Drosophila melanogaster: one gene and its partner. The gene in region 1 interacts genetically with each later gene. Each region holds a gene or a part of one and is shown in the gene's direction. Other genes may lie near its edges.

Region 1 (5,538 bases):
ATTTTTGTTTGCTACATTTTTTTTTTAACATTTTGAAACAAGAAAGAAAATATAACAGAATGAGTCTGTAACTCAGAAGCTGATTTTTCTTAGTTAGTCTACGAAAACTATCTGAATTATTTTCAAATATACTGTATAAATTCTTATTGTATCAGAGCTGTCGAATACCCCTGGATGATTTCGTTCAGAGTTAGCATTTTGAATTAGAGACGTGCACTAGTTTATTAGGATATTAATGCTTTTTGTTGTATGTACAGACTTAGTTTTTGTTTGCTTCCGATTTCCAACCCGTTTCATCACGCACCACAACCACAGTAAACCTTGAAGCGAACCCTCTCAAAAAAATGGCCAGAACTTTAACCCAAAACATAGAGCATCCCGATGAGGTGTTGTTAGGTTTGTTGTGTCCGTGTTTTTGAACATTTTTTTGGTTTTGTTTCGTACAGTCTTGAGTTTGGCCTTCGTGGCCGGCGATGACTTAATATCAAACGTGCAAAAGTCGTTGAATTAAGTGCGCCTACAGTGGATGCTCGCTGAGAGGAACCAAACTGGTTTTTTCTCCGCATTCTTAATAATTTTCATCGTGGGGGTTGGTTTCTAATTAAAGAACCTCCACTGTGCATGTTAAATGATGTAAAATGGTGTGCACACATACACGTACAATAACAAACTACGCTTATGACTAATAAATAAATTATAATGCATACTTTATACAGATCGATTGGCCCACTCATAAAAAAAAAGAAAACAACAAGACAACAACAAAAACAGGTCAAGAACGAAAAACGGTTAAACAAAAACAACTCGCAACTCACCGAACGAAGACCTTTGTTGTTGTGACCGCTGCCTCTTTGGCCGGTGTACGTGTGTGTGCGTTGTCGTAAAAACAAACATCAACCGTTATGTGTGGCAGCGCCTGTGAATGAGTTAATTTTTTAAGTGTTTGCAATAAAGATTTCGGAAAATTGGCAGGAAAACAACATTTGTATTAGCAGCTCAGGTGAGAGAGTGCCGAGAGAGGGAGAGAGAAGCACACCTTTCTGTTTTATCGCTCGAAATGCGGTCGCATAGCGTCGCTGTTGTTGCAACGCCGCGTCCCCTCGGATAGAAAACAACTAAACTCGTCCTGTTTTTCACATTAACCGCTTGTTTTTCAATTTGTGCGCTACGCGTTTGAGCAATTGGTTTGGGCAGCACTTGAGTTCGGCCGAACTAAACCAAAATTGAGCAAATTATATGGGAAAAACCAGACTGCAATGCTGCGCCTACATAATTAAAACAAAAACTAAACATATCGATAACGAAGAAGGCCCTACCCGATATCGATGTACTGGAGTGCTGAAAAACATCATAAGGTGCTGTTATTATCAGCCGCCCTGTTAGGGACAAGTGATCAATGTTGCCGACACGGTAACAGTGATTTTGGGATACCTTAATTTTATCAGAGCATTGTTTTTAAATTTAATTAATTTTTTAATATTATTAAATAATAATTCCATCGCTTATTCAACTATAAGTAAAGATGAAAGAATATGTTGAAACTATGTTGAAACCAAACTATCCAAGACACATTTACCAAATATAGCAAATAAAAAATAAATATAAAACAATAAAAACAAATAACATTTACCAAAGTCGCAACATTGCGCATCACTGAGCAGCTCTGTTAACCATAATCAGTGTTGTGCAAAGACAGTGCTGCAAGCCGGCCGACTAAGACTCATCCAAGTCGAAATTGCAGCCGAAAGTGAAGGTATTGCAGCAGTAGCCAATTGGACGGTTTATTACATAAATTCGCGTTTTTCGGCTGAAAAAATAAAAGCCTCTTTATGTCATTGCAGTTGTTAAAAGCGCTACCCCACCTGCGCAGCGCCACCACAGCCGTGAGAACTCAGATTGCAAGAACAACGTGGAGCGAGCACATTGCCACGAAAGTGTTTTTTAGCACCACTACCACAAAACCTACTCCCTCCGCACCACCACCACCTCCACCAACGCAACCGCAGCAGCCAGCTGCAACCACAAGTTGGGGCACCAAGAAGCAAAATAGAAAGGTAAAACTAAGATCCGCCGCTGCCGAGTTCATCATGTCGAATCCCGAGATTGAGGCTCAACTTGCCCCATTGAGGGAACGAGTTCAGGAGCAGGGTAACCTGGTGAGGGATCTCAAGGCGAAGGGTGCCCCCGAGATCGATGTGAAAAAGGCAGTAGCCGAGCTGAAGGCACGCAAGAAGCTGCTGGAGGACAAAGAGCTCGCCCTGACCCCCAGTGTCGTTAGTTTCGATCGCGCGAAGATGGAGGATCTACTCAAGCGTCGCTTCTTCTACGACCAGAGTTTCGCAATTTATGGCGGCATCACCGGCCAGTACGATTTTGGACCCATGGGCTGTGCCCTCAAGTCCAACATTCTGGCCCTATGGCGTCAGTATTTCGCCCTCGAAGAGCAAATGCTGGAGGTGGACTGCTCTATTCTGACTCCCGAACCTGTGCTCAAAGCCTCTGGTCATGTGGAGCGTTTCGCTGATCTGATGGTCAAGGATGTCAAGACCGGCGAGTGCTTCCGCCTGGATCATCTCATTAAGCAGGCTTTGGAAAAGCTATCTAAGGCCAAGGATGCAACTCCCGCCCTGCAGGCCGAGTGTGAGGATATTATCATTAAACTGGATGGCCTGAACAAACAGGAATTGGCTGGTGTCCTGGCCAAATACAACATCAAATCTCCATTAACCGGCAATGATTTAACAGAACCGATTGAGTTCAACCTGATGTTTGCCACCCAAATTGGACCCACTGGCTTGGTCAAGGGATTCCTGCGGCCCGAAACTGCCCAGGGTATCTTCGTCAACTTCAAGCGACTGCTGGAATTCAATCAAGGCAAGCTTCCCTTCGCTGTGGCTCAAATTGGCAACTCCTTCCGCAATGAAATCTCACCCCGATCGGGATTGATCCGTGTGCGAGAGTTCACCATGGCAGAGATTGAACATTTCTGTGATCCCGTGCTCAAGGACCATCCCAAATTTGGCAACATCAAATCGGAAAAGTTGACCCTTTACTCGGCGTGCAACCAGATGGATGGAAAGTCTGCCGCTCAGGTGCAAATCGGCGAAGCAGTGGCATCCAAACTGGTGGCTAATGAGACACTTGGTTACTATATGGCCCGCATTCAGCAGTTCCTGTTGGCCATTGGTATCAAACCGGAGTGCTTGCGATTCCGGCAGCACATGTCCAATGAGATGGCTCACTATGCATGCGATTGCTGGGATGCCGAAATTCTTACCTCCTACGGATGGGTGGAGTGCGTAGGATGTGCGGATCGCAGTGCCTACGATTTGGGACAGCATACGGCCGCCACAGGTGTGCGTTTGGTGGCCGAGAAGCGTCTGCCGGCTCCCAAAACGGTCGAGGTCAGCGAGATTGTGCCAAACAAGCAGGCTCTCGGAAAGACCTTCAAGAAGGAGGCAAAGAACATCACGGATGCGTTGGCTAAGCTTTCGCTGGAGGAGATAACCAAGGTAGAGGAACAGCTGGCTGGCGATGGTCAATACAAACTGACCACGGCCGATGGCCAAAGCCACGATCTCGGAAAGGACACCATCAGCGTTAAGCACTCTACGAAAACGGTCCATGTGGAGGAGTTCATCCCGAGTGTGGTTGAGCCTTCATTCGGCATTGGTCGCATCATGTACTCCCTGTTGGAGCACAGTTTCCAATGCCGCGACGGCGACGAGCAGCGGTGCTACTTTACGCTACCGCCTCTGGTGGCGCCCATCAAGTGCTCCATCCTTCCGCTGTCCAACAACACCGACTTTCAACCTTATACTCAGAAACTGTCTTCTGCCCTGACCAAGGCGGAACTTTCGCACAAGGTGGACGACTCCAGTGGATCCATTGGCAGGCGGTATGCCCGCACGGATGAGATTGCCATACCCTATGGCATCACCGTGGACTTCGACACTCTAAAGGAACCGCATACGGTGACTCTGCGAGATCGGAATACTATGAAACAGGTGCGCGTCGGTCTGGAGGAGGTTGTGGGCGTCGTCAAGGACTTGTCGACGGCGAGAACCACCTGGGAGAGTGTCACCGAACAGTATCCTCTGTTCGAACAGCAGGAGGCCAGCAAGTAACTGGTTGATCAAGGAGTTTCTTTCGCTTGGCACGCATTTACAGAGTTTCAAAGTTTTCTTATTTTTGTATAAATAAAATTCAATAATTCAATAATTTCTTATAAAATTCAATAAATATGCAACATTTAATGCTTTGCGCTTTGAAATGGGAGTGTGTTTATCTTCAATATGAATTTGATGTTTATTTTCAAAAAATATTTTTTCTCGGTGAAATTTCTTTTTAAATTATTTAATATAATTTTAAATATGCACATTTAAAGTTGTTTGGATCTATGACAATTCAAATTTACCGGATATTATGATTTATTTACACTTAAAATTGGTAATATAAAACGTGAAATTCCTTTTAAAAACGCAAACTATACACAAAGAGTAAAAATATAAACAAGGGAAAGTAATACGAATTATAGGCCATTTTTTCTTTAGATTTAAATCGCAAGTTTCCAAATAAATATGTAACCAGTCCTCACTGCTATGCTAAAATTACATTTGATTCTTGTTTATTTTTGCGGGAACTCAATTTTAATGCATAGGAAACCGCGCGGTTTTTGTGACGTTTAACAACACACGGTGAGTCACTGGTATTCTCAATGAAATGAGCGGTGGTCATACCATAAATACGTATGAGATATTAAACGAATCCAATTTCTAAAACCACGTGCAGCAAAGGCAAATAAACAATAAATTGTGGCTCGGATTGCCTCAGATTGAGTGTCCACCGCGAATTGAACCGATAACACGATAATCCTCCACATTTGGTGATCCCAAAGATTGACATTCGAGACGAAAGGATGAAATACATCCTGGTAACTGGTGGCGTCATTAGTGGCGTGGGAAAAGGAGTGATTGCCTCCTCGTTCGGAACGCTTTTGAAATCCTGTGGTCTGGATGTAACCTCGATCAAGATTGACCCCTATATCAATATAGATGCTGGAACCTTTTCGCCTTATGAGCATGGTGAGTTTTCAAGAGGTCTTCCCATTATTTTATATGGTGTCTATAGTATGTCTTGCTTTCGACATTCGAAAAATGTCTGGTCTCTTATTTTGGCAATTTTTCAATATTTTGCCCATCTGTGCGAGTGTAAGTGTGCGGCGAGTGTCAGTATGTGCATCTATTGTTGTAAGACTATTGTTGTTGTAAAGCCACGCGTCTGGTTATAACCACATGGTGTGAGGTGACGGAAAAGGAGAGAGCGGTGTGGCGCTCTCCCGCCAAAATAAATAATCTGAGCAAAAACAAACGTTTAATAACAAATAAATAAAGTAACAATACATCACTTACGATATGGGAAAACTTTTCAAATCTATAAAGACAATAATATATAATAATAATTATTCAATAATAAATGTAAAGTGAAACTAAATTTTACGATTTGTTTAATTTGATTTAATACAGGGTGCTTATAAAA
Region 2 (7,030 bases), on another chromosome or scaffold:
CATTAGATCGATATTCGGAAACTCTTCGTAATAGTAAACTTCGTCCTCAGGTTCCACATCATTCTCTTCGGATTCCTCGTCGACATCTGCCATTAGTAGCGGCGGATCATCGTTGATGCAAGCCATTACTATGCGAAAGTATGCAGTTAGGTTATCATGGTTATCATGGTACTGATCTATGTGTATTAGCATATGTACATACCTGAATAGTTATACCAGACGTCTGGAATCCGCTCTACTCTCATTCTGAATGGTGGACTTTGTAGAGATAGTTGAAACTTAACCAGTTCTGCAATACGGATATACATACTAAGTATATTAAGTAACTATATTAAATATTACCATATTAATATTAAGCTAGGTATTAAGTGTATATTACTCCACCCAAACTTCGAGATATTCAAAAATATCCATTTTTGGGCGTAGAACCGATAAACTGATGACTTTTTAGTTAAACAAACATACATATTTATAGGTCGATCCACCTTTGCACGCCATATGGAGGATACCCGCCGTTTAGGTCCTCGACAGAGCGGGGTCGGTTGAATGGTAATTTCCCATAATTGGGTCTGGGTCACAATTAGCGACGCCTGGACATGGGTCATCATCATGCGAACGCTTGGTGGTGGGCACCTACGAGTACGAAGGAAAATGGAAAATCCTGTCCCGTGCGCCGCGGGCTAATCAATTACGCAACCTTTAAGAAAAGCGCGCAAGGCCCCCCTCCTTCCCCCCACCGTCCATCCAACATTCAGCGCCCGATAACTTCTACATTTTATTCACATTTAATTGCAGCCCAGGACATTCATTTTTCTGAACCTGATCACGACCGACGCTGTCAAACGGTTGACAAACTTCCCCGGGGATGACATGTGATGTGATGTAACGGGGCTGGGCTAGGATTCAGTCGTCCCCGAACCACGGGAACCAGAAATTCCGAGGCCCATGCCGGAATCTACATACATACACACACGCATACATATATACATACATATGTATCGTAATTTACATTTTCTAACCCTTTTCTTTGTCTAATCACGTAGAAAGTCGCGGCGTCTTCCACGCCTTGCGGTTCCATTGTCATCTCGCTCGCACTTGCATTCTATCTGTAGCTGTATATGTGCCATTTCGGCAGGGATCGTGCCCTCGCACTCGCACCCCTGTGCTTTGCCGTAGAAATTCCGATTTTTGTCGGCCTTCTTTTTGCTCCGTTTTTGCCGGATTTTATTTGGGTAATTTTCTTTTCAATTAAATATGCAAATGCGAGCGTTAAACGTTTAGTTCTTAAGGCGTTTGTTGGTGTCATTTGGATATTTTTAGGGTCCCAAAGGCCAAAGGAATACAACAAATCTACAAAAATCTTGCAAAAACGCCGGCAACATCGCAAGTTATTTGCGGTAAACTGAAGAAACCATGTGCACATTTTCATGTTTTCGACACTTACCGCAAGAAAAGGATTCTTCAAACTCTGTGCTAGACACTTCTTATATAAAGATTTAAAAAAAAATAACAATTAAAAAAATAGCTTTGACTAGTAAGAAACAAAAAAGTTTGCGACTGCTCTTAAGGACAACTTAGTTGAAAAGAACACGAAAGTGTGAAGTAGAAAGGGTGAAGGGGAAGAGCACTTGACTGAGATGCCACTTGACCTTAAGGACTGCTCTATACGTGCACATTAATTATGCAATCACGACACTATCGGTTAACAACACTTATCTCGTGATCTACAAGTTCCGATCCAGAACTACTTAATGTGTTTTAAGGGTTTACTGTAATTATGTAATGTATAAACAAAGTTCAATTTTATTAAAAATATGACAACCAACATTCAATTACAACGAACAAAAAAACTTATAAGAATAATCAAAGAAATATTATTTTATCATCCATATAATTTCGCCTTTATTTAATAAAAAAGAAATGTTAATCTGTTCAAGATTGCACGGATATACGGCACTCAACGAACACAATTGCCAAAATAAATAATAGTTCAACTTTTTGCAATGTGTTCAACGCAATTGTAGCTTACTGTAGATCAACGTTTTAAAACACTGCAATGCGTTGCCACCTGTGTCACTTTTACCTCGTGGACTTGACAGTTCAATGACATTCAATTCCTTTTTCCGGAAACTTTAGCGCAGTCAAGTCATCTAATGCACCCTCCGGCGAGTTTTCTGAATAACAAGATGAGAAGTCCAGCGTTTAATCCAAACGTAATTACCAATTTAATTGTTTAAGTGCACGTTAAGAGAATGTGGCCATTAAATTCCAGGCAAATCGGCGAAATCCACCAAGTCCGCAACCGCACGTTGATGAAAATCGCCATGAGCATGGACGCGTGCGCAATCAGCGGCAGGCGCCCCGCCCAAGATTCCACCAACCATCACATGTGAATGTTTCAGCAATTTATTTGCCATTGTACTCCGTGCCAAGTACGCCGACTACCACCCCTGCGCGTTTTGGGGACACGCAGGGCTTTTACCGCAACGGCTGTTGGTACAATAGCGAATTCAATCGGGAGCCAATATCGGCTAATAATCAGCAATTGTATCTACTGGTATATGTGCCATCAGACACCAATATCCAGCCTGTTCAAATCATACGGCAGGTGCCTCCGATTCAAGGGTCATCACCACCACAACCACAACCGCAGCCACAACCAACGGCGCCACCAACACCACCACCACCACCACCCCAGTTTGTGGTAAACCGTCCCCGTGGGCCGGTGAATTATGTTATGACCGCGCAGCCGCCACAGGGCAGCCGCCCTGTGTATGCACAGTATCCACAGGCACAGCCAATGTACGCAATGCCAAGAGCTACTGTGCCATCGATTCCAGAAGTCCAGACACTACCACACCAAGCCCCGTCACAATATCGACCGACTCAAATTGATGTTGCTCCAAGGATGATGCACCGAGGGGTTCAGGTACCCCCACACTGTCGGCGACCATCATTTAGACAGCCGTTACGGCAAAATCCAGCACCACAAACTATAGGACATGCTCCATCACGGATGCATTTACCAGGCGCTGGAGGCCACAACCTTCCATCCCAGAATCTCTCAACAAATCGTCCAACTCCACTTAACCCTTGTAAGGGGCAATCCGATCCTGCTCCAGTGCAGATGTCTCCTCAAGTCCAGGTACCACACTGCATTATGGCCACGGTGGAGCCCGAGGTGGCAGTATCCAGATTGAACGGTCCAAGTGGAACCATTGATTCTGATCGTCCAGCCCAAGCTGTTACAGTTGTCGAGCGTCAGAAACATACTTACGAGTCCGATGTATCAATGGAGGAGCCAGTGATCAAGGCGGTCCAAAATGTGAGTACAAATAAATAAATAAAATCGTATAAGATATGAGTATATATGTGTGTAATCTTAAATATATGACATGGTTTTATAGCATATGCCGCAAAGCCATTTAGTGCCACCCGTAATTGTAGCCCAACCAGACAATGTTGTAGTCAATGATGCTAATGGTACACAAATGCCGGTTGATCCACCACCAACTGGAGCTACCATTGTGGCTCTTGCCAAGGAAAATGATTCAAATTCGATTGCAAACTCTGTCTTGGTGCATTGTGCTAATGTTAATGAGGCTAAAAAGCCTCAGAAGGAGATTGCTAATAGTTCAGTTGTAAAACAGCAGGAGGTTATGGTTATGCAAACGGAACAGCTCAAATCTCCGAAACCCAAGCTAAAGAATATTCAGCAGTCAAAGATTCCAATCGCTGATACAACACCAGAAGCGGAAACTGAGCAACCCACTATCACTGACCATCCGAAGCCAATTGACCAGGCACATGCCATCAACACCTTGCCGGAGCAGGTACCACAGCCAACGAACACCAATGCAAGCCGTTCATCTGTAAAACAAACTACGCTGGATATTATCTGTGCAAACATGAAAGCATTACGAATTTCGGAGTCGCCCAAAAGCAATGTAAGCTTTAACACAAAATATGTCTAATCACTAGCTTCTCTACATACATGTAATGCTACGTACATAATTGTTTTTCAGACGCCGAAGAATCCAAAGGTCTATATGAATCATTGGCCCCCATTGGCTGCCAAAAAGGATCATGTCAGTAATTCATTTAACTCGAACGATACGCCACCGAAAAGCCATACAGCGGAGGAGCAATCAGTAGCATCTGTTTTGAAAATCGCTAAAAATCGCCAACAGCAATCAGGATTAGTTAGTTCATTGAACTCAAATGCTGATCATAAGATGACTCAAAAATCTGATGACAAAAAGACACCAGATAACGATTCAAAGCGTCGATCAATGGCCACAGAAAAACGCAATTCTGCTCTACCATCGATAAACAAAAACAAACGGTCATACGATAAAGTTATACAACCAAATCCACCAAGGACCTTGGTCCTGCACAATTCGCCTCGGTCGCCAGCGAGTTCCCAATTCACGCCTGTGGTGGTCAAAAAACGTAATATTTCTGGGCCATCGCAGAGAGAAAAGAATGTGCTCAATGAAAATGTTTTGAAACCACCAGTGTTTAAAAAACCCTTAGGGCACAATAATGTGCAGCCAAAAAAGCCATTTGTTGATTTGAAAACTCTAGGGACGAACATGTTTGACCTTCTGGTAGAGCCGGATAAGGAGGATGACAACGGCGAGAACACTAATGAGCAAGATGATCCGTCCATCGACGATGTTAGTACTCCATCAAAGCGTTCCAAATCGCAGAAGGAGAAGAGGCGCTTCAAGAAACAAAAGACGGCCCTTGAAAAGCAGATCAAACTCACGAAGTTGGCCCAAAAGGAGGCGAAGCGTGCCGAAAAAGCAAAGGAAAAGGCCAAGAACTCGAATGGGAAAAACGCGTTGGCTATTCAATCCAATTCAACCGAACAACCGGCTAACCAAACCGTTTCGGGTGGCATACTTGGGAACTTGGCTCAAGAAACCAAATTCTTTTATCAACTGACCGATGTGCTGGGAACTCCTTCGCCATCTCAACCAGGAGCTCCTCCGTCGCCAAGTGTTTCCCGTTCGGAAGTGAACATCAAAGCGCGCAGGAAGAAGCAGCCCATGAAGTTGAGCACATTCTTATCGGCTGTGAATCATGCCGCATTGAAAAGAAATCCCCATGTTTCCGCAAAAAGCAATCTGTTCGAGCGCAGATCATATGGAATTAACAAAGAAACACCAACCCAAACAAGTACAGATTCCGCTGCAGGAGCTCCTTTTCGTTTCAACGCAGCAGAGTCAATGCCGATATCCAAGCCCGCTGCAGAAGTTCCTTCGCGTTCCAACGCATTAGATGCTGTACTCAAGATGGCAACGCCGATATCCAATCCGCTGCCAAAACCGTCCCTATGGTTGCCATATAATGTGCGACCAGCGGCATCGATGGCCAAGGATAATTTCAAACTAAATCGAGATGTGGTGAGCTCATCCGAATCACCATCATTGCAAATCGATATGGCCAAGCAAAATGCTGATAAGCTGGCATCAGCATCTTCATCTCCATCTCCATCCCCATCCCCATCCCCATCTCTATCTCCATCTCCATCTTCATCTTCATCTTCATCTTCATCTTCATCTTCATCTCCATCTTCATCTTCATCTTCATCTCCATCTCCATCTCTATCTTTATCTCTATCTCCATCTTTATCTCTATCTCCATCTCTATCTCCATCTCTATCTCTATCTCCATCTCTATCTCTATCTCTATCTCTATCACCATCTCCATCTTCATCTTCATCAGGAACAGCACCAGCAACCCTTCAAAATAATGTATGGAATTTTAATTCCAGTCCTGGCGAAGTTATTAGCTTGCCACTCAGCAAGCATGCTGAAGATCCCGACCAGTAAACCAGGAGAGAATCCATCAAAAGAATCCACCCGAAACCAAAAGAAGACTGTCAAATCATAAATACCTCGTCATGGTATTATAAAAGCATTTCGAATATCAAACAATATTTGTGATCGAATTCGAAGTCATCACTAGTCACCGTCACCTTTGACCACCATTTACACACTGTGTTTTGTAAATTTACACACATTTTGATAAAATAAAAGTTTCTATAAAACTATATCTAAACTCGTTCTGCTAATCTACTTAAAAACCCCCCTGGTGGTGGTAGTCCAAGTTTAGCATTGGCGAAGGTGTGAGTTTCCACGACTAGGATTTGGTGAGATAATGCACTCAACTGACAACTGCTCGATGAACTCATCTCGTTTGGCCTAATCTCTTTCAGATCTCGTCCGGTTCCATCCAAAACGAATGCCGATTGCAATGCTTCTTAGGCTAGGAGCTTAGCCGCAGTTTGAACTAATTAAGTGTCGAAAGGATTACCAACGCCTACCCGTCGTGTGTTGTGATTTACGAGTCGAACTGGCCAACTAACTACCTGCACAACTGGGTGCTACCTGTACAGGTATCCTCATTAGCATGAGACGACGGCGACACCGTAGGAGGTGGCATCTAATGCGACTGAGTCGTGTGCCATTCCATTCACAGAGTTCCATTCATGGACAGCGTATGTAGAATTGATAATCCCATTCCATTCTAAATTTTAAGTTCTTAGTTCTTAGTTCCGAATCCAAATCCAAATACCCATCCCATTTGGCTTAGCAGTTGCTTTCGTATTGCAGGCGAATTCTGCAATCCATACGAAATCCTTTCGCCCGTTGCACAATGTCCCTTCGAAATCTCTGATGCAGCTGCTCCAGTTGAATGTGAATGGTCGGGTGTGGGTGACATTTGCATCTGTGGCCCAAGACGACGATCCCTAAGACACTCTAAGCCAAATGGATGGGTCGCATTGTGTATTGTCTACTCGTTTCTTCCCTCTTTTTGTCCATTCAACCAGCTGGTCTCGTCGCCAGTTGAATTGACAATTGAAAGATGCACCCATTTCGTCTCGAAGCAGTTCTTATCCAGAACCGAAAATCGGGATTTATACACATTATAATAATAATAATCATAGTAAGAGATTTAGATACTGATGTGACACATACTGAATGGGTGTGCTTTTATGAATCCAGTATGAAGATTTTGT

The links. Genes that interact genetically often act in the same process or in processes that back each other up.
Region 2: of GlyRS (region 1) and CG15599, changing one enhances a phenotype caused by changing the other (phenotypic enhancement), as found in Drosophila melanogaster (one study listed by BioGRID).

What each region holds. Positions count from the first base shown.
Region 1 is NT_037436.4:15,093,433-15,098,970, forward strand, and holds GlyRS (Glycyl-tRNA synthetase), read left to right. Parts: upstream 1-1,709; 5' UTR 1,710-1,829; coding exon 1,830-4,127; 3' UTR 4,128-4,254; downstream 4,255-5,538. Other genes in the region: Ctps (CTP synthase), read left to right, coding at 4,919-5,084. UniProt on the Drosophila melanogaster protein: Catalyzes the ATP-dependent ligation of glycine to the 3'-end of its cognate tRNA, via the formation of an aminoacyl-adenylate intermediate (Gly-AMP).
Region 2 is NC_004354.4:15,683,946-15,690,975, reverse strand, and holds CG15599 (uncharacterized protein), read left to right. Parts: upstream 1-2,118; 5' UTR 2,119-2,186; coding exon 2,187-2,213; intron 2,214-2,272; coding exon 2,273-3,325; intron 3,326-3,407; coding exon 3,408-3,947; intron 3,948-4,025; coding exon 4,026-5,840; 3' UTR 5,841-6,029; downstream 6,030-7,030.